Linked DNA regions of Lonchura striata. The protein of the gene in region 1 binds, or shares a complex with, the protein of each later gene. Links are inferred from orthologs where the notes say so. Each region holds a gene or a part of one and is shown in the gene's direction. Other genes may lie near its edges.

Region 1 (7,497 bases):
TCCACAACAGTGTCACTGACAGCAGTGACCCCGCTGTCCCCTCTGGCAAAGGTGAGCAGCTCACCTCCTGTGGCTTTTGCCCTCTTGAGCACCTGCCAGCAAGGGCTGCACACCCCTTCATCCACCTCCCCTGCCCAGGGTGCTTTCCTCCCACCTGGGGCTACTGTGGCTGGAGCAGCTGTGCTGCAGGAGCCCCACTTCAGTGCCCTCTGCCTGTCTTGCTGTGCCCTGTGTGGGTTTCTCTCTGGTCACCTCTGCTGTCCACGTGCCAGAGTGTTTTTCCCAACCGAAACAATTCCGTGGTGCTGAGACTGTGGATGCTGCAGGGCAGGGGGGTGGCACGGCCTGGAGCTGAGCTCCATGAGATGCTGCAGGGTTCAGGGGAGGCTCAGGGGTGTGCAGGGCCTGGGGATGGGGACAGGGACAGTGCTGGCACTCACCTGAGATGAGACTGGGTAGTCAAACCTCTCTGTCAGTGAGCCCTGGGGCTCTGCTGGCTGCTGCTGGTGAGCCAAAAGTTCACCTCCACAATGGAGCTAATTCAAGCCAAGACAGTGATTTAACGAGCCGATAATCTCATTACAGAGCCCATACAGAGAACAGCACTAATGGCATAAACCAAAGAAAGGACTGAGTGTGCTGAAGCGTGGGCAGGCCAGCCTGTCCCCCTGCCTGGCAGGGAGGGTGCGGGGCAGGAATCCTGTCCCAAACAGCCCCAGGGTGCTTCAGGGGGCTCTCTGATACACCAAAGCCACCTAATCCCTGCAGGGTGCCTGTCCTGGGGACAATCCCTGAGCCAGCAGTGGCGTAGCCCTGGGCTACAGTCTCCCTTCCTGTCCGTTCACTGTGTGTGGAAAAACCTGCTGAGCCACAACAACGTTCTCCAGGCCACAACAGCAGGGTTAGGTCAGGCTGCTTTGTCTCCTCAGCCAGCCTGGGGCTTAAAGAGCTGCTTCCTTCTCTTCTCACTGCAACAAAAAAACCCCACTCAGGTTTCATGCAACGGTGAGGGAAGTGCCAGAGGCTGCAATGCTGCAGGGGTGGCCCGTGGTTTGATGATCCTTTCCACCTCAGCTCCTTGCTGTGCCCTAGTGTGGAGGGTTCCAGCTTGCAGCAGCTGAGAGCAACCAGCCCCTGGGCTCAGCCTCTCTTCTCCCTCCTTCCCAGGTGATCATCTGCTTTGGGATTGCCGTGCTGCTCCACCAGTACGTCGGCTTTGCCCTCGTGGCTTTACTGGTGGAGATCAACTCCATCTTCCTCCACCTGCGGCAGATCATGCTCATGGCCAACCTGGTGCACACCACCTGCTACCGCCTCAACAGCCTCATCAACTTGGGCACCTACGTGGTGTTCCGCATCGCCACGCTGGCCTGGATGAGCCGCTGGCTCTTCCTCAACCGGCAGAACGTGCCCCCGGCCACCTACGCCGTGGGCACGGTGGGCATGGCAATCATGACGCCCATGAACGTCATCCTCTTCTACCGCCTGCTGCGGAGTGACTTCCTCAAATCCAGGAGGGAGAAGGAGGAATAGGCCCTCCCCTGAGAAGGGGCACTTCCAAACCCGTGGAAGCACGTGGAGGGTGAATGTTTTGGTACCTCGCAGGGAGGGGCTGCACTAACAGAGCATCCAGGCTTTGCTTGTGGCTCAAGAGCCTGGGCCCTGCACAGCAGAGGAGGTGCTCGTGGACCAGGCACGGTGGCTCTGCTCCCCAGACGCTTTTGGATGATGTGGTTGGACAAGCGGGAGCTGCTGAGAGAAGCCTCGACAGCTCTCACAGCTCCCTGAGGCACCACTGAGATGAGACGGGGGCAGAGCAGCACTGTTTCCCCACTGCTCTTCCAGACATCCCAACACCACCGAGTGTTTCCAACCCCTTTGGTGCTGCAGCGTCCCATCAGCCACGGGACACTGAGTTCTCCGTGCCATCTCCTGTGGGAACACCACCAGCAAGACAGGTTCCAAGGCTTTGCCTTCAAGGTGATGGTCAGTAAAAAACAAACCTTGCACTGATGAGCCCTCCCTGAGGAGATTTCCCAGGCTGAGACCTGGCTGGGTGGCAGCTGCCCACTGTGGGGGCAGCCCCAACCTCTCCTGGCAACTGGAGCTTTTCCATCATGTTTTGTCCCCAGATAATTCAAGTGCCCATAAATGAGCGTGGGAGAGCACGAGTGGCTGGAAGGAGGATGCTGTGTGATGGTCACTTCTCACACATGAGGGGTTTTCAGGCACTTTTTAAGATTCAGGCATCTGTTAGGAGTGCCAAGTTGTGCTGCAGAGCCCGGGGTAATGCTCTCACTTGACAGCAAAGGCTCTTACTAACATGAGCTTTTAATAAATGGCTGCAAATGAAGTGGCTTGAGGGGAAAGGACTGAGAGGGGACACGAGGACTCATCATCCCAGCCCAATCTGGGGGTGTCACTGCTTAGCCCAGTCCTTACCCCCAGTCTCCCTGCCATGGAGTGAAAATACACTGTACACTGGCACACTCTACCTCTCTTGTTGGGTTTTTTCCCCACCCCTCTCCTTTCTGTGGAGGAAAATGAAGGTTTTTAAACATTCTTCCACTCCACATTTCCTCACTGATTCTCACACTGGACTGTTCCCCAGCAGCCCAGCACTGTGTATATAACAGGATCATCCTACTTGGAGTTAAGGTGAAGCAGTCTGGAGAAATCCACCGGCTCAGTCACCTTTTCTTTTGTGTGGCGGATAAGCTTTAACACAAAATCTCTCCCTTGGTTTGAAGACCCTGGGGACAGGCTGGAGCAAGGCACTGCTCGGAGAGGGTGGCACATGTTTTGAGGACAGAGACAGGGAAAGATGAGGGATCCATGGGCAGTGTGAGGCTGGAGGCTAAAGCCGCTTACGTTTCTATTTGTGGAGGGCAGGGAAGCTTCCAGGTGCTGGGCACAATTACTCCAGGTTTGGGTACGTAACCTCAAGCAGTGCTGAGGCACCTGTGTGCCACTCACAGCTCCCAGCTGGAGCAAAACTGTCACCCAAGGCTTTCTCTTTGCTTTGACCCACGTATTCCGAATTTTCCAGGAGCTGCTGCACAGGTAACAACGCTGCCTCTGCTCTCCAGCCCACAGTCGGGAGGCTTCTCAAGGCCTGGATTGTGTTCCCACATTCCTGCCGTCACATGGATGTGGGGCTGGGGGCCAGGGCAGCCTGGTTTGGGCACCTCTTAATCCACCGTGGTTTTCCCACAGGGCTAAGGGGGAAAAAGCAGCGGCTTTGCAGGTCACCCAGGTCGGACGTGGGGATGCCCTGTGCCTGCCCATCCCGATGGGAAGTGCCAGAGCTTCGCTTTGAAAGGTTTTGGGAAGGACTCACCACTCTGTTCCCACCGTATAGGGGTGGGAATACCACCACCACGGGGTTAGAAGGAGCATCTCCATCAGGGAATTAATTGCTGGGGAGTAACACCCCGGCTTGCCACCCAATCACCCCCCGAACAAACCCCTCTCCCCATGGGAGCTTCCACCCTGGCAAAACCCTGAGGCAAGAGCTCGCCTGGCTGCTGAGGGGCCCTGAGAACACATTGAACCCACCCACAGTGAGCTGCTGGGCAAACACTGAGGGTCGGGGGCCATCTGTGTTCCTGTGGAGAGGCAGGAAGGGGACAACGAGTGGGTGGCTGCTTGCTGGGGCCATGGTGTAGCCATGGGGGCAGTGCATCACTGGGGAGCGGCATCCCCCTGCCTGCCTGGGGCACGGGGGCGTGACTGAGACGGGCTCAGCCGAACTGAGGGGATGTCCAGGCCCCGTGGGGGATGTCCCCACGCAGCTCCACCGCGGACATCACCGGGATGTGTCCGAAATGTCCAAAATGTCGCCCTGAGGGCGCCCCCCGCCCCTACCATCACTGGCGGGGGGGGGGCACGACCCGGCCAGGGGCGCCCCCTAAAGCAGCGCGGAGTGAGCTACGCCAGGCGCTGTCCAATCAGAGGCGCTGCCGCGCTGTCTCCGCCAATCGGAAGCAGCGAAGGGCGGGACCGGGGAAAGCGGGACACCACAACGGAAATGTGCGCCAGACACCGCTTGCTCCCCTCTTCCGCCCTCAGTGCCTCCCCCGCCGCTCCGCGCTCTGATAGGATAAACCTGCTGTCTGTCAGATCTCCTAAAAATTGACTGGCTGTTCCGCGCCGCGAGTCCCGCCCACATCCGGGTCTCGCAGGCGCGGTGGCGGCGGCGCGGGGCCGCCATTGTGGTGGGGGAGCGCGGGGGTCGCGGCTGCCGGTGAGGGCAGCGGAGCGGCGGGCCCGGGGTGCGCGGGAGCGGCGGGGGAGCGACCGGCGGCGGCCCCGTCGTGGTCCCGTACCTCGCACTGAGCCCCTCTCCATCTTCTCTGCGCAGTTGCGTCGCCATGGCCGCCGTGTTCCCGTACCGCGGCGGCTGCGCCCCGGTGCCCAACCCGCTGGCGCCGCTGCCCGACTACATGTCCGAGGAGAAGCTGCAGGAGAAAGGTGGGTACGGCCCCGGCGGCCCAGAGCCTCCGCGGGGGACAGGGCCTGAGCCGCCGCCTCTGTGTCCCCGCAGCCCGCAAGTGGCAGCAGCTGCAGGCCAAGCGCTACGCGGAGAAGAGGAAATTCGGCTTCGTGGATGCGCAGAAGGAGGACATGCCCCCCGAGCATGTCCGCAAAATCATCCGCGACCACGGCGACATGACCAATAGGAAGTTCCGTCACGACAAGCGAGTCTACCTGGGGTAAGGGACCCCCGGTGTGGGGCACAGGGGGATCTGCTGCTGCCCTGGAGGGAGAGATCCTTCTCCAAAAGGCTTTTTGTGAACATTGTAACTCAGTGAGGATGCCCTGAGGTGTCAGTGCAGAAGAGGATCAGCAAAAGGAGTTGTTGCCTTGAGTTTATGAGAAAAAACATTAGCCTGGATAATGCATCATTGAAGGGGAAGCCCCTTCTCCAAAAGGCTTTTCAGCTTTTCAGTTGTAGCTCAATCTGTTGCTGTGAGGTATCAGTGCAAAGGAGCGTCAGCAAAGGGAATTGTTGCTCTGAATTTATGAGAAAAAACATGACCCTGCATAACTGAGTGTCTTAGAAGGAGTTGGGGAGAGTGTGGAATGTTTTTTTAAAGATTAAAAAGCATCCTGAGTGCTGTTTGGGGGTAGAGAGCTGTCTAGTGCACATCATGGTCTGCTGCAATAAGTTACAATTACCTAAAAAACTCTATGAACTAACTTAAAAACTTCAGTTTCTGTTAGCAACATTCTTGAAAGCCAAATCACTAAAAAACCTTTTGATAATCCAAAGGTAGAGTGGGAGATCCATGGATTTGCTTTTTGAACAGGTCAGATGAGCAGTTCCTAGGGAAAACTGGGAGGTTGTTGGGCTCGTGGCAGGTGGTTGGCTGTCCTTGAGAGCCACTCCAGCGTGGTTTTCCCTGGTTTGTGGTTGCAGTGCTCTGAAGTACATGCCCCATGCTGTACTGAAGCTCCTGGAGAACATGCCCATGCCCTGGGAGCAGATCCGGGACGTTCCCGTCCTGTACCACATCACGGGCGCCATCTCCTTTGTCAACGAGATCCCCTGGGTCATCGAACCTGTCTACATTGCCCAGTGGGGGTAGGTGCCTTCTGCTTCTTTCACCTTTTTGCACCCACCATAAAATCCCCCTGCTTTTAACCTACCCCTGATTTCCTGCAGCTCCATGTGGATTATGATGAGGCGGGAGAAGAGGGACAGGCGCCACTTCAAGAGGATGAGATTCCCCCCGTTTGACGATGAAGAACCCCCTCTGGATTATGCTGATAACATCCTGGATGTGGAGCCCCTGGAAGCCATTCAGCTGGAGCTGGATCCAGAGGAGGATGCCCCTGTGCTGGACTGGTTCTATGACCACCAGCCTCTGAAGGACAACAGGAAGTAAGTGGCTGTGGAGGGGGAGAAAAACAAAAAACAAACAGTGCATGAATGACGTGCACAGAGCAGTGTGTAACCTTTGTGTGATGTTGGTGAGGAGAGAAAAACCTTCCCTCAAGGATGGGAGGGAAAAGCTGAGTGTTGGAAAGCTGCATCTTTTGCCTGCAGGTTGCTCAGAAGTCCAAAGCCAGGTTGGGTGGGGCTCCGAGCAGCCTGGGATGGTGGAAGGCTTGGAAAAAGATGAGGTTTAAGGTTCCTTCCAAGCAAAACCAAATCCATTCTGGGATTCTATGGTTCAGGATCCAGCAAGGCTCCTCTATCCAGGAGGCCTGTTACCCACTTACTTCCTAAAACTGGTGTTTCTGACCATGTTGTAAAGCTGACAGCCTGCATTGTGTAGCTGGAATTTGGAATTTGCTAAAGGTGCCCAGATGTTCTGTGTCACTTGAGACACAGGAGAAGAGGAACTGGAGCAGCCAGCATTTTCTGGGCAGGAGGAGTCTAGAGTGGTCTTTAATAGTGCTGCAGCCTTTTTTTCAGGCTAGAGACACGCAGATATCTGTTCTTGATGAAGGATGGGTGGCAGAAGGTGTTTGGTTATTCTGTGTGTGGAGTGTCCATGCTCTGCTTTCCCAGGTACGTCAACGGCTCCACGTACCAGCGCTGGCAGTTCACCCTCCCCATGATGTCCACACTGTACCGCCTGGCCAACCAGCTGCTCACTGACCTGGTGGATGACAACTACTTCTACCTGTTTGACCTGAAAGCCTTCTTCACCTCCAAGGCACTGAACATGGCCATTCCTGGAGGTCCCAAGTTTGAGCCCCTCGTCAGGGACATCAATCTTCAGTAAGTGTTGGTTTTGGGAGAGAGATGAGTGGTTGTCTAGGAGAGGGCTGATGGGGTGTTTTCTGTCTCTCTCACCCTGAATGCCTGCATAACAGTTTCTTGTCTCGTTTTAAGGGATGAAGACTGGAATGAATTTAATGACATCAACAAAATCATCATCAGGCAGCCTATCAGGACAGAGTACAAAATTGCTTTCCCCTACCTGTACAACAACCTGCCCCACCATGTCCACCTCACCTGGTAAGAGCAGCAGCCTCCAGAGCCAGGAGAGGAGGGAAAGGCTGTCAGAGGTTCTAATGCATATTTATTTTTTTGCAGGTATCATACTCCAAATGTTGTTTTCATTAAAACAGAAGATCCTGACCTCCCAGCTTTTTACTTTGATCCTCTGATCAACCCCATTTCACACAGACATTCTGTCAAGGTGAGTCACTGGGTTAACTGTGATAAACCCTATGAGTGGAAGTAGGGGCCTTTAGTATCTTCTGATAGCAGCAAACAAACAGATGTTTCAGAAGGCAGCAGCCCTTTGACAAAATAATCCACAGTTGTCATTTTAGTCTTCCACTTCTGGAGTTGCACAAAGTTGTCTCCTTTGGTTTCTGTAGGATAAAGCTCAATGTTTAATTAATAGTGTTTGAGTCTTCTGACAGATAATTTACCTTCATGGTTGCCCTTGGTGTATTCATGGAGCTGGCACCTCCCTGAAGTTACCTCCATAACACCGAACTCAGGGTCTGGTAGCCACAGTTTGCCTTGTTGAG
Region 2 (7,782 bases), on another chromosome or scaffold:
GCCCCACGGAGGAGTTGGAGCTGAGGAAGTTGAGGAGGTTCCTCACAACGTCCTCGGGGGCCTTGGAGTCGCCCTTGGGCTCCAGGGGCTGCAGGAAGGGTCCCAGCAGCAGCTGCGGCATCCCCGGGCCCCGCGGCACCTCCCAGGGGTCCTGCAGGCGCGTGCCCCCCACCAGCACCCTAAAAACAGACAGGGGCACCCCAAAAATGGGGGGGATGAGTCAGGGGAGAGCCCTGAAAATCAGGGGGAAAAGTCAGGGGAGAGCCCTGAAAATGAGGAGCAAAAGATCAGAGGAGACGCCAAAAAATGAAGAGGAAACAGGTAAGTACCCCAAAAATCAGGGGGGAAAAGGCAGGGAAGCACCCCAAAAATGAATAGGAAAAAGTCAGGTGAGTACCCCTAAAAATCAGGGGGGAAAAGTCAGGGGAGCACCCCAAAAATGAGGAGGGAAAGAGCAGGGGGACACCTGGAAAACAGGGAGGATGAATCACAGGAGAACCCCAAAAATGTGGGGGAAGGTCAAGGGAGCACCTCAAAAATGAAGATCAGAGCAACAACCAAAAAACAACCTTTTCCTGACCTAGAAAAGGCCAGGGAAGCACCCCAAAAATAGGGGCAAAAGGTCAGAAAATCACCCCAAAAATGGGGGCGGGAAGGTCAGGGGAGCACTCCCAGCACCCCAAAATACAAGGAAGAAACCCATGAGGCAAAGAGTGAGAGGAGGAGAGGTTTGGGGGGGAGTCAGTGAGTTTGGGGGTGACACAGGGGACACATTTTGGGGTCAGTGAGTTTGGGGGGACATTGGGGTGACACAGGGACGTTTTTTGGGGGGTCGCACCTGTCCACACCGCTGGGGCTCGGCTGCTGCTCCGTCAGGTTCCTCCACTGGGCCACCACCAAGTTCTGGGGGGACACAGCGGGGGTCACCAGAGATCCTAAAGACCCCCCAAAATTCTACCCCAAACCCCCAAAATTCTACCCCAAACCCCCAAACCCCCAAAATTCTACCCCAAACCCCCAATTCCACCCCAAACTCCCCCAAATCCCCCCCAGCCCCCTCACCGGGAGCTCCTCGATGCCATCCAGGAAGATCCCAGCAATGTCCTCCTTCAGCCAATGGCTCAGGGCGGCCTGGGGGGGCACAGGGGGGGTTCAGGGGGGTCCCCCACACCCCCAAGCCCCCCACCCCCACCCCACAGCCCCCCCAGACCCACCTGGACCTGCTGGTGCACCTCAGAGTCTTGGGCTGCGTCCCCCCACACCGGATTCCCGGCGGGGTTTGGGGTCAGGTCCAGGATCACCTTCACCCCTGGGTGAAAATGGGGGGGTCAGGGCACCCCAAAACCCCCCCAGCATCACAGACCCCCCCCCCCACTATGGGGGATCCCCCTTTTTTGGGGGCTCCTTCTGCCTTGCTAAACAGCCAACCATGGGAACCCCCAAACTGAGGCTCCCACTGCATTCCCCCCCCACCCCCAATTTTGGGGGTGTCCCCCCCCATCAATTTTGTGCCCCTCAAATTTTGGGGGTCTTCCCCTTCAATTCTCTGCTGCCCCTCCCCCAAATTCAAGCTCTCCATTTTTCCCCGCCCCGTATCCAACATTTCCCCCAAATTCTGGGGTTCCTCCCAGTGTCCCCCCGCCCCCAGTTTTGGGGTCGTCCCCCCCAATTTTGGGGTGCCCCCAGCTCACCTTTGTCCTTGGCTGCATGCACCAGGGCGCTGAAGTCCTGCATGGTGCCCAGGGTGGGGTCCAGCTCCTTCAGGGGGGGGATTTTGGCCTCGGGGGATTTTTGGGGGTACACGGGGCCCAGCACCAGCCCCCCCACCTGCAGCTTCTCCTTCAGGTACCCCAAACGTTTCTCCACACCTGGAGAGGAGGAAAAAGGGGTGAACCCCAAATCTGACCCGACAACACAACCCCAAAATCCCACCTAGACCCCAAAACCAGCCCCTGGGTCCTAAAACGTCCTCCCAGGATCCCAAGATCACCCCAAAATTGGAGGAAACTCCAAAATCCCCAAAATTTGGGGGCCCGCTCAGGCTTTGAGCAATTCCCAGAGATCGTGGGACTCCCCTAAAGTGGAGGAACCCCCCAAGTTGCTGAGTCACTTGTCCCCAGGCTCTTTTATGGGTGGGGGGGTCCTGAAATGGGGGTCCCCAATCTGATCCTGTGGGTTCTTTTTGGTAAATCACCCTGACACATGCTGGGGGGGCACTGAAACGACTCCCCCCACAAAATATTCTTTAATTCATTTTAGGGGTTTATTAAATGGGGTGTTCCCCCCCCCTCACAGGCTCCCAGGAGACCCCCAAACCTTCCTGGGGATGCCCCCAACCCTCCGAACCTCCCCAGAACCAGGCTGGAGACTCCCTAAACACCCCCAACTCACCTCTAGGGATCCCCCAAACTTCCTAAGCCCCCCAGAGAACACCCCCCAAATTCCTTCTGCCATCCCCTAGGACCCTTCGACCCTCTCCCACCCCCAAAATTACTTTCTAAACCCCCCCAAACCCCTCATGGGACCCCCCCCAAATTCCCCCAGCCATCCTCTGGGACCCTCCCACCCCCAAAATTACTCTCTAAACCCCCCCAAACCCCCCATGGGATCCCCCCATATTTCCCTAGCCATCCTCTGGGACCCTCCCACCCCCCAAAAGGACCCCGACCCCCCCCAAATTCCTCCAGCCATCCTCTGGGACCCTCCCACCCCCAAAATTACTCTCTAAACCCCCCCCATGGGATCCCCCCAAATTCCCCCAGCCATCCTCTGGGACCCTCCCACCCCCCAAATTACTCTCTAAACCGCCCCCAAACACCTCATGGGACCCCCCCCAAGGGATCCCCCCAAATTCCCCCAGCCATCCTCTGGGACCCTCCCACCCCCCAAACTCCCAGGAGACCTCCCCAAAACCCCCCCCTCACCTTTCAGATCACCTCCAAAAGCCTTGGGGGGAGCCCTGTAGAGCGCCCCGAGCTCCCACCAGGCTTTGGTGGGCAGGGGCTGGCAGCGGGGCGCTTGCGCCACGATGGCAGCGGCGGCCCCCAACATCCCGATCCAGCCCCCCCAGAAGAGCACGAGCAGCACCAGGCGGGCCCGGGCCCAGAGCGGCGTCCCCGCTTCCCTCAGCAGCTCCTCCTTGCCCAGCCCCGTGAATTTGGGGCTCCCCGAAGGCGCCGAACCCCCTAAAGGAGCCTCTTCTTCCTCCTCGGGGGGGATCTTCATCTTCAGGCCGTTCTTCTCCACGCCCGGCAGCTGCTCCGGGGCTGGGGGAGGCTGCGCGGGGGTCGCGGGCTCGGCCGCCGCCATCGGCTCCGTCTCGGCCTCCAGCGCCGACAGCTCCAGCTCGCGGGGTGCCGCCTCGGGCTCCATCTGGGGGGGAAATAAAACACCCCGAAATGTTCAGAAAAACCCCGAGCCCCAAAAGGCTTCGGGGCGGGGTTGAACTCTCACCCCACGAACGGCCTCTGAACCCCGACTTTATCCCCCCCCACCGTGGGGAAAGCGTCTTAAAGAGATCCAAAGGTGCTCCCCGCACCCCAAAACCTCCTCGGTAGCACCCTAAAATCCTCTTAGCGCGGGTTTCAAGCTCCTCTTGAGTATCTAACACCCCTCACCCCAGGGACCTCAAAAGCCTCACAGAGGCCCCAGAACGCCCCAAGATCTTTCCAGGCCTCGCGGCCGCACCTCAACGAGTCCCTGAACGAGCAAATCCGCCCTTGGGGGGGATCTCGAGCCCTTCCCGCACACCCCAAAATCCTCAAAGAGGCTTTTGCGCCCCCCAGAAGCGCCCCGCCGAGCTCGAGCCCCCTCAGAGCAGGCGGCACCTTCGCCGATGCCTCGTGACGGGGCTGAGGGGGGGAGGCTCGGCGCAGCCTTTTATACCCCGGCAAACCACGCCCACTTTCACTGACCACGCCCCCTGGCGCCGCCGCGGCGCCCGGCCCGGGCGGATCAAAGAGCACGAGGCGGGGGGGGCCGGACACGCCCCGGGGCGAACGGGGCGGGACAGAGCCCCGGAGGGCGCGTTTTGGAGTCTCTGGTTTGCGCCACCGCTCAGCGGAACGCCACTTATGGGGCTCGTGCCTTTTTCTTCTCCCGGAGGGTTCTCTACGCCCCCGTCCTTTTCGGGGTACCCCCCATGCGCCGCCATTTTGCCACACCCCAAGCAGCCGCCATTTTGCTGTTGTCAAAGTCTCTATTCAGCGCTGCTAGGCGCAGCCATTTTGCTGTGCCCCGGGGGTGCGCTATTTACGGAGCCCCCTCATCGGGCAGACCGCACGGGGTCTCCTCACTGGGAACCGAGTCGGGAGATCCTCGGTGCCTCTTACGGAGATCTTCAGCCCTTTGTGGGGGGACAGGACGGCGTCACAACCATCCTGCTCATTCTGCCCACCCCTCCGCGCGCATAATGGTTCATCCCACAGCGCCCCCTCAAGTCCCGCCTAAACCTCGGCCAATCAGCACCGCGCTCCGCAGGAAGTAGCCAAACACCGGAAGCGTCTCCATGGCAACCACCGGAAGTGCCGCTGTCTCCCGGAAGTGGCGGCGCGGCCATGGGCGCCTCGAAGAAGCACCGGGAGCGCGGCGGGGCCGAGGCGGCCGAGGAGACCCCGGGAGCGGCCGGGACGGGCGGCGGCGGCAGCGCGGGGCGGCCCCGCGAGCACCGCAAGCACCGGCACCGCGGCGGGGAGCGGCGCGGGAAGCGCAGCCGCTCCCGGGGCGAGCGCGGGGGCTCCGGGGGAGGCTCCGGTTCCTCCCGGCGCGGAGGAGCCGAGGAGAGCGGGAGGAGCGGCCATGGCCGGGGCGGCACCGAGAGCGAGCGGAGAGCGAAGAGGGAGAGGAAGGAGGAGCGGGAGGAGCCCGGTGAGGGCGGGGGGAAAGGTTGGGGGGGGCTGGGAAGTTTTGGGGAGGAATTTGGGGTTTGGGGAGGGATTTGAGGGGGAGTTTGGGGGGATTTTGGGGTGTCGGGAGGGGCTCGGGGGTGCTGGAGGTGATTTTGGGGGGGGTTTCAGGGGCACAGCAAAGATTTGGGGTGCTGGAGGATTTGCGGGGGTTGGAGGAGGTTTTGGGGTGCAATTAGTGGGATTTTGAGGGGGGGTTGTTGCAGCTGGGGGTGATTTTGGGGGTTTGGGGGGGGCAGCTTTGGATGAGAGAGACCCCAGAGGGATTTTGGGGGGTTAAAGGTGAAATTTGGGGCGTTAAAGGGGATTTTGGAGAGATTAAAGAGAACTTTGGGGTATTCAGTGGGAATTTTGGGGTTTTGAGTGTTACAACCGCTCCCCTAATTCTAATTAATTACTAATAATTTATTAATTATCCTCTCCAGCCCCTCCTAAACCCGCAGCAGGCGAATCCTCCCTGAGCGTGGAAGAAACCAAGTGAGGACCCCACCCCAAATCCCCCAAAATTGGGGTCCCCCCACCCCAAACCTCCCCTGAGCCCTTTCCCTGTTCCCAGTAAGCTCCGGGCCAAACTGGGACTGAAACCGCTGGAGACCGGCCCGGCCAAGAAAGGTGAGGGGATTTTGGGGAAATTTGGGGGATTTTTGGGGTGCTTGGGGCTGGTTTTGGGGCCGATTTCAGTGATTTTGGGGCGCTGCCCAGAGGTGATTTTCGGGTGATTGTGGAGTGCCCCGAGGACGATTTGGGGCTGATTCTGAGGTGCTGCTGGGGGGTGATTTGGGATGGATTTTGGGGTGCCCCAGGGCTGGTTTTGAGGTTGATTTTGGGGTTGATTTCCTTGGTTTTGGGGTGGATTATGGGGCTGATTTTGGGGTGGATTGTGAAGTGCCTGGGACTGATTTTGGGGTGCTGCCCGGGGCTGATTTTGGGGCCAATTTCACTGATTTTGGGGCCAATTTCACTGATTTTGGGGTGGATTATGGGGCTGATTTTGGGGTGGATTGTGAGGTGCCTGGGACTGATTTTGGGGCGCTGCCCGGGGCTGATTTTGGGGCCAATTTCACTGATTTTGGGGTGGATTATGGGGCTGATTTTGGGGTGGATTGTGAGGTGCCTGGGACTGATTTTGGGGCACTGCCCAGGGCTGATTTTGGGGTCAATTTCACCGATTTTGGGGCTGATTTCACCGATTTTTGGGTGGATTACGGGGTTGATTTTGGGGTGGATTGTGGGGTGCCCTGGGGCTGATTTTGGGGCCGATTTCACTGATGTTTGGGGCTGATTTTGGGGCTGATTTCACCGATTTTGGGGCCGGTTTTGGGGCTGATTTCACTGATGTTTGGGGCTGATTTTGGGGCTGGTTTTGGGGTTGATTTCACTGATTTTGGGGCCGGTTTTGGGGCGCTGCCTGGGCAGAGGCGGGCACCAAGGAGGAGCCGGTGGCAGCCGAGCTGATCAATCCCCTGGCGCTGCGGCAGCGCGAGGAGATCCGTGAGAAGCTGGCGGCGGCCAAGGAGAAACGGCTGCTGAACCAGAAACTGGGGTACGGGGGGGATTGGGGAGGAATTGAGGGGGTTTGGGGAGGATTTGGGGGGTTTAGGGAGGATTTGGGGAGGATTTTGGGGGGTTTGGGGAGGAATTGGGGGAATATGGGGAGGAATTGGGGGAATTTGGGGAGGATTTGGGGAGGATTTGGGGGGATTGGGGAGGAATTGGGGGAATATGGGGAGGAATTGGGGAGGTTTGGGGAGGATTTGGGGAGGTTTGGGGAGGATTTGGGGGGGTTTGGGGAGGAATTGGGGGAATATGGGGAGGAATTGGGGGGGTTTGGGGAGGATTTGGGGGGATTGGGGAGGAATTGGGGGGGTTTGGGGAGGATTTGTGGGGATTGGGGGGGTTTAGGGAGGATTTGGGGGGATTGGGGAGGATTTGGGGGAATATGGGGAGGATTTTGGGGGGTTTGGGGAGGAATTGGGGGGGTTTAGGGGGCATTTGGGGTGGAATTGGGGGGATTTGGGGGTGTTTGGGGTGGAACTGGGGGGGCTGAAGGGCATTTGAGGAGGAACTGGGAGGATTTGGGGGTTTTTGGGGTGCTGAGAGGAATTTGGGAGGGTTTGAGAAAGAATTGGGGGGTGTAAGGGGCCTGGGAGAGCGTATGGAGGGATTTTGGGGGGAATTTAGGAGGAATTGGGGGTGTTATTGGGGATTTTGGCAGGGCTGAGAGGAATTTGGGAGGAATTTGGGTGTTTTGGGGAGATTTGGGAGTGTTTAGGGAGGATTTGGGGGTGTTTGTGGGTTTTGGGGGGGGATGAGAGGAATTTGGGAGGAATTGGGGGGTTTGGGAGGTGTTTAGGAGAGTTTTGGGGGAGCTGGGAGGGGATTTGGGGGGTTTGGGGAGGAACTGGGAATTCCCGGGAGGGTTTGGGGGGATTTGGGATTTTCAGGGGGAATTTTGGGGGGCCAGGATGGGATTTTGGGGCATATGAAAAATTTGGAGAGCATCTGGGAGGAGATTTTAGGGCACAGGGAATATTTTAGGAGATTGTGAGGAGCACAAAAAAGAATTTGGGGTAGAATTTTTAGATGCAAGAAAAGGTTTTTAGGAGTATTGAGAAAAATCTGGAATCGCTGGGATGCAGAGAAGAGATCCAGGAGGATTTTTGGGGGTTCAGGCCGTTTTGGGAACCCCAAAATATCCCTTTTTTGCCCCAAAAAAGGAAGGTGAAGACGCTGGGGGAGGAGGAACCCTGGCTGGACGATGCGGCCGCGTGGATCGAGCGCAGCCGGGCGCTCCAGAGGGAGAAGGAGCTGGCAGAAAAAAGGGTGGGAAGGGACCCCAAAATCCCAGGAAAACCCCCAAATCCCAGAAAAAAACCCA
Region 3 (8,081 bases), on another chromosome or scaffold:
TTGACATAGGATAGGTGGGAGAGTGGACAGATGCTAAGTTGCCTGGATGGATGGACAGAGAGAAGGACAAAAGGACAGATGAATGGATGGACAGATGGCTGAGTACTGATGGACATCTGTGACAATGGGTGTCCCTCAGGGGCCTGTACTGGCACCAGTGCTATTCAAGGCTTCATCAATGAAACAGACAATGGGATCAAGTGCACCCTCAGCACACTGGCAGAGGACACCAACCTGAGCAGTGTGGGTGACACGCCTAGAGAACAGATCCATCCAGAGGGACTTGAACAGGCTCAATCAGTGGGCTGACAGGAACTTTATGAGGTTCAACAAGACCAAGTGCAGGTGCTGCACATGGGCCATTGTAACACTCAGTATCAATACAGGCTGTGGGATAAAGAGATTGAGAGTAGCCCTGCCAAAAAGGATGTGGGATGCTGGTGAGAGGCTAGACATAAGCTGTCCATGTGCACTGGCAGCCCAAAAACTAACTGTGTCCTGGGCTGATCCCCATAGCATGGGCAGCAGGTGAGAGGGGGTTCTACCCCTCTTCTTTGCTCAGACAGGACCCCACCTGCAGTGCAGCCTCCAGCTCTGGGTTCTCCAGCATAGCAAGGATGTGGACCTGCAGTCCAAAGGCCATGGAACTGCTCTGAGAAGCTCTGCTCTGGTGACAGACAAAGAGCCAGGGATGTTCAGCCCAGAGAAGGCTCTAGGGAGATCTTAGAGCCCGTTCCAGTGCCTAAAGGGGCTCCAGAAGAGCAGGAGAGGGACTTGGGACAAGCTGGTGTGACAGGAAAAGGGAGAATAGCATCATACTGATATCTATCAGGGTTAGATGGGACACTGGGAAGAAATTCTTCCCTGTGGAGGTGGTGAAGCACTGACATGGCTTGCCTATAGAAGCTGTGGAGCTGAGAATGTGTCACTTTTACTCAAGAGCATCCCTGAACCAGCCTTGGAACTTGATGCCAACTTGCCTCACTGGCAGTCTAGAGAGCTGCCTTCCAATCAGCTCTACCAGCAGGACATTGCCAAGGTATTACTGTGCGTTTCGCTTTTCTTTTTCAGGAACCATGTTCCACACCCGGAGACAAGCCTGTACCAGGAGTGCTGTGATGATTCCCACTAGCTGTCCAGGTCAGAGACATGCAGGTAAGGCACCACAGAGGAGACAGCACCATGGAGGACACACTGCCTGTCACTTCTCTTGCAGGAACTGGGTTTAACAGCAGGAGGGAGCCAGGGCACAAGGGCTCATAAAATCAAAAAATGCATCAAAAAGCAGCAAGTGAAGAGAAAAATGTGCAGATTATCAAGCCAAGATAGTGCTTTTACGTAACATCTGCCAGCACAATTGCAGTGAAAAGCATTGGGAGGTCAGGGAGTGGCTGAGTTCAGTGCCCAGCAGAGAGCCCAAGAAGACAGGAGAAGACAGAGGAGATTAAAAAGATGGAAAGTGGAAACTGAGGCCACTCATAGTGTGCAGGCCCTGGAGAAAGACACTGTTGGTTGAGCAGATTATGAGGAAGAGTAGTAACCTGGCTTGTATTGCAAGTTTTACATGATTTGCAAAGGTGTTTTTTGATGTCATGTGTACCTGAGAAGGTAAGAGGACAAGACACAAAGAATTTGTTTATGCAGATGCAATACATGTAGCTAAATAATAATTTATCTTGGTATTTCTGTAGTAAAGTATCTTTCCCTTTCTCAGAGGCTGCTGAAGAAGTGACTTTTACACAGGTCACCAGAGCATGACTGGTGCCAAGGAAGATCTCTGCACTTGGATGCTCATCTGGACCGTGCTCCAGCTCACATCCCCTACTCCCAACACCTTTCTCACTGGACTAGGTTGCTAGAGGGCACAGCAGTCCCAAGCACTGGCAGTGGAGCTTGAAGCTTTTCTCATTTTGGAGTGAGCTTCTAAGCAAGCTTAGGAGCTGGTGCTTTATACTTTCTGTGATAAAAAATGCCTAAATGTTTGTCTTGGTTTTGCCTAAGAAACTGATTTCTGGGATACCTGAGAAATAGGGCAGAAGGTATATGAACTGCAGCTTGTGTGAGACACTGCAGAATCATCTTCAAGGTGAAGTGTTGTCTTTTTTAATCAAACTCCACTGCCCAATTCTGCCAGGAAACCAATTTCTTCACCAAAAGGAGTAGCAAGAGTGGAAACCCACCTGCTTAACCAAACACCCATGTTAATGGGGACTGTTAGTGTCCATGTTTGCAGTCACTTGGTTTCCCTGTCTCTCTTGCAGAGACATCTCTCCCTGGATGTTGCATTTGGGAGAACAGGACTCACACACAGGGGAGCTGAGCCTCTGATCCAGGAGCCCTGGAGACACTGTTCCTGAGAATACTTTTTCCTTGAGATCGCTGCATGCAATACAGGTGTAAAAGCTCCCACCTTCCTGCATCACAGGCGAGTGTTCATATAGGAAGCCTTGAGTTAAACAAATTTTTAAAAACCCTGTCTGTTGTTTCTTGCATGTCTCTTTCTGAGTAGTTTTTCACCTTCAGGAAACAGTAACAGACCCAAACTCTCTATAGGACAATCAGAAACACCAGATGGGACTGGGTTTGGTTTGATGGTTTTATTGTTTCAATCATAAATGTCAGGTTTAATGGTCAACATTCTTCTGAGATATCTGCAGCCTTTAATGGTCACTGGCAGGTTATGCTGGGAAGCTTAGTGACCAGTACTGAACAGATCCATACAGAAGCCATATGCACTTGAAATGATTGTCAAGGAGTGAGGCAACTGTTGCTATGTTGCCACTTTTTAGTTCTCCTCTCTTGATGATGAATGAAGAAAAGTTCCCTTTCTTCATTCTTGCACCATCCTTCCCTGAACTTCTGCCATCAGGAAGCTCTTTCTGTCCCTGTGGGAACAGCTGAGCAGGTTCTCATGGTCATTTCCCAGCTGGTGGTGAGGGTGCCCTGCTTTTCCTGGGGGATAGAATGTCTGGCTGACTTCTATTCAAGTTCTCCCCCTTCTCAGTGTGTGTGGGCTTTTTACACCTCCTTGATTTCTTGCAGACTCCTTGAGGCTTCAGCCCTGTTGTTTTCTGGCACATTTGACATGACATGCAGAAGACTGAAACAGCACAAGGCTTTGGAAAATAGACCACATTTTTCCAGACATGTCTGGCCCTTTCAGGCAGTGACTCATCTTTACACTCTCAGATGTCCATTTTGCCTCTTTTCACAGCTGGCCCTTCTCAGAGAGCATGCATCTGGCAATTTACACAAGCCCAGTTCAGTGCCAGACAGCAAGGGAGAAGAAATGGCCTGTCAACTGCAAGACAGAAAGAACTTACCTGGACAAACAGCCATTCTCTCCTATGACAAAAAGCAAAACCCATCAGAGAAGACAGCAACAGGATCAGTAACACAAGAGAGAGTATATTCTGAATATCCTTTCACACTTGCTCCTACCTGGCATAGAAAACTAAGTATGTATTTTGGCAGAGAGAAGTCTTGAGGCATCATTCATCTTGTACCACTGCCCATCCCTGGCCTGCAAAAAAAGGTATTTTCAGATGAACTGCAGTGGTTTTTAAAGCAAAACCACAGCTAGGACGCACTGAAGGACACAATCCACCAATGCAAATCACTGAGTAGATTTTCACCCTCAGGAAACAGTAACAGACTCAAAAATAATCTTTAGAGTCATTAGGAAATGCCCTGAGGAAACTGTGTCACCAATCACAGGCTGAAGGTATAGAAATAGATCACCTTTGTTCACCAAAAGCAGGCATTGCCATTTTGGCATTTCAGTGGCAGAAAAGTGCTCTGCACCAACCCATTTCTGTACATGCCAAGTCAGGGCTGATCTTCACCCTGGAGCCTTCTCTTGCCACAAGGAAAGGGCAAGGCCCAGCTACAGCACTGGTTGTGACAGCTGCACTCAGCCATTGAGTGTATACATGACTATTCCCAAATCAGGATTCTCATCCAGGAGAGGTCTCTTTCCAAGCAGAAAAGTTGCAGTGCACTTGTTTACATACCTTGCTCATCTTTCTGCCACAGAAAGCATGACTTCTGCTCAAGCACACTCAGGACATTGAAGGATGTCCTGTAAACTTCTCAAAGGCAGTGTTCAGATGATCAAACCTTGAAAACAAGCACAGACCTAACTGTTGCAATCATAGAATTAGTGGCAAAGATCCTGAAGATTGAGACCAATTTCTCCCCCACCACTGCCAAGGTCACCACTAAACCATGTCCCCAAGTGCCACATCTACACAGCTTTTAAACCCTTTCAGGGATGGGGACTCCAGCACTATTCTGGACAGTCTGTGCCAGGGCTGGACGAGCCTTTCCAGAAATTCTTACGGATGTGCAACCTGAACTTCCTCTGCAACAACTTGAGGCCAGTCCCTCTTGTCCTGTCCTTTGTTGCCTAGGAGCAGAGCCTGACCCTCACATGACTACATCCTTGTGCCAGGGAGTTGTGGATAGCGAAAAAGTCCCCTCAAGCCTCCTTTTCTCCAGGCTGAGTACTCCCAGCTCTCTCAGCTGCTCCTTGTACTTCAGACCCTTCCCCAGTTCCATTCTCTTCTCTGGACATACTCCTGCCCTGCAATGTTTTTCTTGTAGTGAAGCTCCAAGAACTGACCCCAGGACTAGAGGCACATCACTACAGGTGGGTGGTCACTGCCCTGGTTCCACTGGCCACACTGTGGCTGGTACAGCCCACGTGCCATTGGCCTCCTTGCCCACCTGGGCACAACTGGGCTCATGTTCAGCCGGCGTGTGCCCAGGGGGACAGGGAGTTGAACAGCAGGCCTTCCCAGCCGAGCAGTGGTCTACTCTGGGGAGTCCGAGCTGTCCCAGCAGGATGGAGCTCCGGACGCCACCCCGATACCGCAGACACAGTCTGGACACACCGAACACATCCCAGACATCCCGGAGAACCTCACCCCCACAGCCCCGCCCTGTCTCTCCTTCCGTCCCCGTTTCCACTTCCGCCGCCGTTTCCGCTTCCGGCAGTGGTACTGCGATGTCGGCTCTGGCGGCGAATCCAAACAACCCCGTGGTTTTCTTCGATGTAACCATCGGCGGGCAGGTGGGGATGCTCCAGGACGGAGTGGCGGCGCCCGCGGAGGGACTGCGGGGATAACTAGGGATGTCGGAGTCTTGTGGGGATGAGAGAGCGCAGGAGGTGCGGGGGCTCAATGTGGGGCTTGCGGGGCCGCAGCTGGAAGCTCTGGGAGGGGCGGTGCCAGGAGACGGATAGCGGGCCTGTGGGGAAGGGCTCACAGGGGAGAGGAGAAGCACTACGTTAGGAGGGACGGGCATGAATGGGGGTGAATAAGGTGACCGGATCTGTGGGAGTATTCGGGGTCGGGCGGCAGGCGTCTTTTTGTGAAGGGACCTGGAAGACTCACCTAGCCCCCGTCTGCTTAGGATGTTGGCCGCATGAAGATCGAGCTGTTCGCAGATGTCGTACCCAAAACAGCAGAGAACTTCAGGTAATGAGCAGCTACTGTTCCTGCAGCTCAGCCGGGACTGGAACTGCAAAGGCTTTCTGGTGCAGGAATGGCTTTTGGTAGCAAACTGATTAGCTAACTCCCACCCCAAACTGCTTCACCTGCTTTGTGTCTCTCTGTTCTCAGAGATGCTGTGTGGCATCCTGGGCTCTCAGGGGACCCTGTCTGGCTGGAAGGGGTCCTCCTCTGCCCTCCTCTCTGAAGCCTTCTGATTTGCTCCATGCATTTAGAGCAGACAGTGCCTTGTGTCATGGTGGAGGTCTCCTGGTCATCCTGTTTTCCTGCCATCAAATGAGGAATGCACCATGTGAAATCCCACTTCCATTGGAAGGATGGACATACCCTGCTCTCTATCAAACACACTGTCTGCCCCATATTCACAGTGTCTTACAACCTTGGTGTTAACTCTCTGACCTCCTCACGACAAAAAGCACAGAATATGTTTTGAAATGGCAGGGGGAAGGAATTGCCAAATCCTGTTTCTCTGGGAACATCTCTGACACAATAAGGAAAATCCTGTGCACCAGTTTGTGTAGCCCTCAGAGTTCACATGCACCTAACACTCTGCTCTCTTTTTGTTTGCCAGGCAGTTTTGTACAGGTGAATTCAGGTAAGTGGATTATAATGTCCTTTAAGTGTCCCACTGAGAAACAGGGCTGGGTGAGGTAGAAAGGGTTTGTCTTGAACTTTTTTATGTTGTACTAGTACAAAATGGAAGAGAAACCTGCTCTGAGGAAGTTGTGAGGGGCTTGGAGACTCACAGAGATGGCAGGTTTCGCTTTCTGATATTACTTTTTTTGTGCCCACATGGCTCTATAAGCTCTATCTGCAAAGCCCACCTGCTTATGCTGCACATTGCAGTGGGATCCTGTGAAGGTGATGATGTGGGTGTTATAGGGAACAGAGTCATTCATGTGCAGAGCCCACTTGAGGCTTTTTTTTGCCTTCAACAGCAGCAGCTGAGAGGCTGCGGCACTTGTTTGTATTTCAAGGCAGCTGCTAATGTACACAGCAACCCTTTGGGACTCTGAATTGTTGGGACTATTTTGTGTTGGGATATCCGGTAGGTTGCAATAATTCTCCTTTTCACTGCCCTACAGGAAAGATGGTGTCCCTATAGGTTATAAAGGAAGCACTTTCCACAGGTAAATCGTAGACCGTTGTTTGCACACTAAATAGCAGCCTGAGCCATACAGAGTTTTGTGAGCTGCCTTAAGCTATTAGTGGTATTGGAGACATTTGCGGATCATGGCTAATGTAATTCTATGGCTTTGGGGGACCTGGGGATGCTGTCCTCCCCACTGGGAGGAATCCCCTGTTTCTGGTGTGCTATGTCAGATAAGGCATCTATCACACAATCACTATCTCTGTACAAAAGCAATGAGTCCTAAATGACCTCATATCAACAGTTAATATTTATTGTAGATTTTAGGCTGCAGCATTCACAAACTGTGTTAACTTCTGTTGCACAGCAAGGCAGAACCTCTTTTCATGTTACACTGAGCTTCTTGAGGCTTTTGGCCACTGGGAACTAAGTGTTGTTTTACTTCTTTAGGGTAATAAAGGATTTCATGATCCAAGGAGGTGACTTCGTAAATGTATGTACTCTGGTACTCTTTTTGTCCTTTTCCTCTATGGTATAACATGCTACAGTTTCCAAGGGTCTTTGCTGATTTGTGGGATCTCCTTCTTTTCTGAGGTATCCAGTAGTAGCTGGAGGTATGCTCATAGCATTGCTGCCATCCTACTGCAACAGACACTAAACCTCTTGAAAAGGAATCTGGAGCCTTGTGAACAGGCATTCTTCCCAAAATATTTTCTCTCTGCAGTAGCCTATCAAAACCCTGGAAGCTTTCAAAACTTGAAAAATTTTGTTTGCCCTGTTTTCCTTCCCCCTTCTGATGTCCTCCTCCAGACAAAAACCTCTGTGAATTTCAATTCATATTGTAGATAGACCCTAAATACAGAACCCAGTGCGTAATGTAAGAGGTCATTTAAATCAAAACTAACCTTTTGTTACTAAATTGTCTCAAAATAGAAAAGTCTTTGCACCCACAATGGTGGTTGTGCTCTGACACAGGGATAAGAATATATGAGTAAGGCTGAAGGGTCACGGTATCTTCATTGTTCTAGGATCCAGTAAAATTATTTTAATTTTGGAAGCATTTAAAAATATGAGGGAAATTATAAAGCTTTTTTAATAAACAGCTTGGTTGTATGAAAGTCTCTGAGAGAAATGACCACACAGCAGGCGGTTCAGCAACACCAGACTCTGTTGTAGTTGCTAGTTGTGACACTGCTCAGATGAACCAGTGCACTGTATTACTTGCACTGTATCTCAACAGACTTTACAGATTGCTCCAGTATTTGGAATTGATATATTGTATTTATTACAAAGCCACAGTCACACTGACCCCTGAGACAGGGTGCAAATTTCTGTCTCAGAGCCAAAAGTTTAAGTAAACTACAGAGAGCAGGAGGGAAACAAACAAGGGCTGGGCAAGTAGAGCAAAAGGACGTAGTAGAAAGTACAAACATAAACAAAAAATCCTTATTTTAGAAACTACCCTTGCAGAACAGAGA

What was found.
Region 2: PRPF8 (region 1) and SART1 share a complex: the UniProt entries of both Homo sapiens proteins name them as parts of the U4/U6-U5 tri-snRNP complex. The link is inferred for Lonchura striata from reciprocal best matches to the Homo sapiens genes PRPF8 and SART1.
Region 3: PRPF8 (region 1) and PPIH share a complex: the UniProt entries of both Homo sapiens proteins name them as parts of the U4/U6-U5 tri-snRNP complex. The link is inferred for Lonchura striata from reciprocal best matches to the Homo sapiens genes PRPF8 and PPIH.

What each region holds. Positions count from the first base shown.
Region 1 is NC_134622.1:6,931,875-6,939,371, reverse strand, and holds the start of PRPF8 (pre-mRNA-processing-splicing factor 8), read left to right. Parts: upstream 1-4,176; 5' UTR 4,177-4,246; intron 4,247-4,363; 5' UTR 4,364-4,373; coding exon 4,374-4,473; intron 4,474-4,546; coding exon 4,547-4,715; intron 4,716-5,422; coding exon 5,423-5,587; intron 5,588-5,668; coding exon 5,669-5,887; intron 5,888-6,520; coding exon 6,521-6,733; intron 6,734-6,847; coding exon 6,848-6,973; intron 6,974-7,051; coding exon 7,052-7,157; intron 7,158-7,497. Other genes in the region: TLCD2 (TLC domain-containing protein 2), read left to right, coding at 1,168-1,533. UniProt on the Homo sapiens protein: Plays a role in pre-mRNA splicing as core component of precatalytic, catalytic and postcatalytic spliceosomal complexes, both of the predominant U2-type spliceosome and the minor U12-type spliceosome.
Region 2 is NC_134638.1:688,444-696,225, reverse strand, and holds the start of SART1 (U4/U6.U5 tri-snRNP-associated protein 1), read left to right. Parts: upstream 1-4,556; coding exon 4,557-4,866; intron 4,867-5,329; coding exon 5,330-5,381; intron 5,382-5,460; coding exon 5,461-5,516; intron 5,517-6,320; coding exon 6,321-6,447; intron 6,448-7,621; coding exon 7,622-7,727; intron 7,728-7,782. Other genes in the region: amino acid transporter heavy chain SLC3A2, read right to left, coding at 1-179, 839-903, 1,063-1,131, 1,215-1,309, 1,692-1,868, 2,925-3,372. UniProt on the Homo sapiens protein: Plays a role in mRNA splicing as a component of the U4/U6-U5 tri-snRNP, one of the building blocks of the spliceosome. May also bind to DNA.
Region 3 is NC_134626.1:8,516,636-8,524,716, reverse strand, and holds the start of PPIH (peptidyl-prolyl cis-trans isomerase H), read left to right. Parts: upstream 1-4,855; 5' UTR 4,856-5,008; coding exon 5,009-5,074; intron 5,075-5,415; coding exon 5,416-5,480; intron 5,481-6,084; coding exon 6,085-6,108; intron 6,109-6,598; coding exon 6,599-6,643; intron 6,644-7,053; coding exon 7,054-7,096; intron 7,097-8,081. UniProt on the Homo sapiens protein: PPIase that catalyzes the cis-trans isomerization of proline imidic peptide bonds in oligopeptides and may therefore assist protein folding. Participates in pre-mRNA splicing.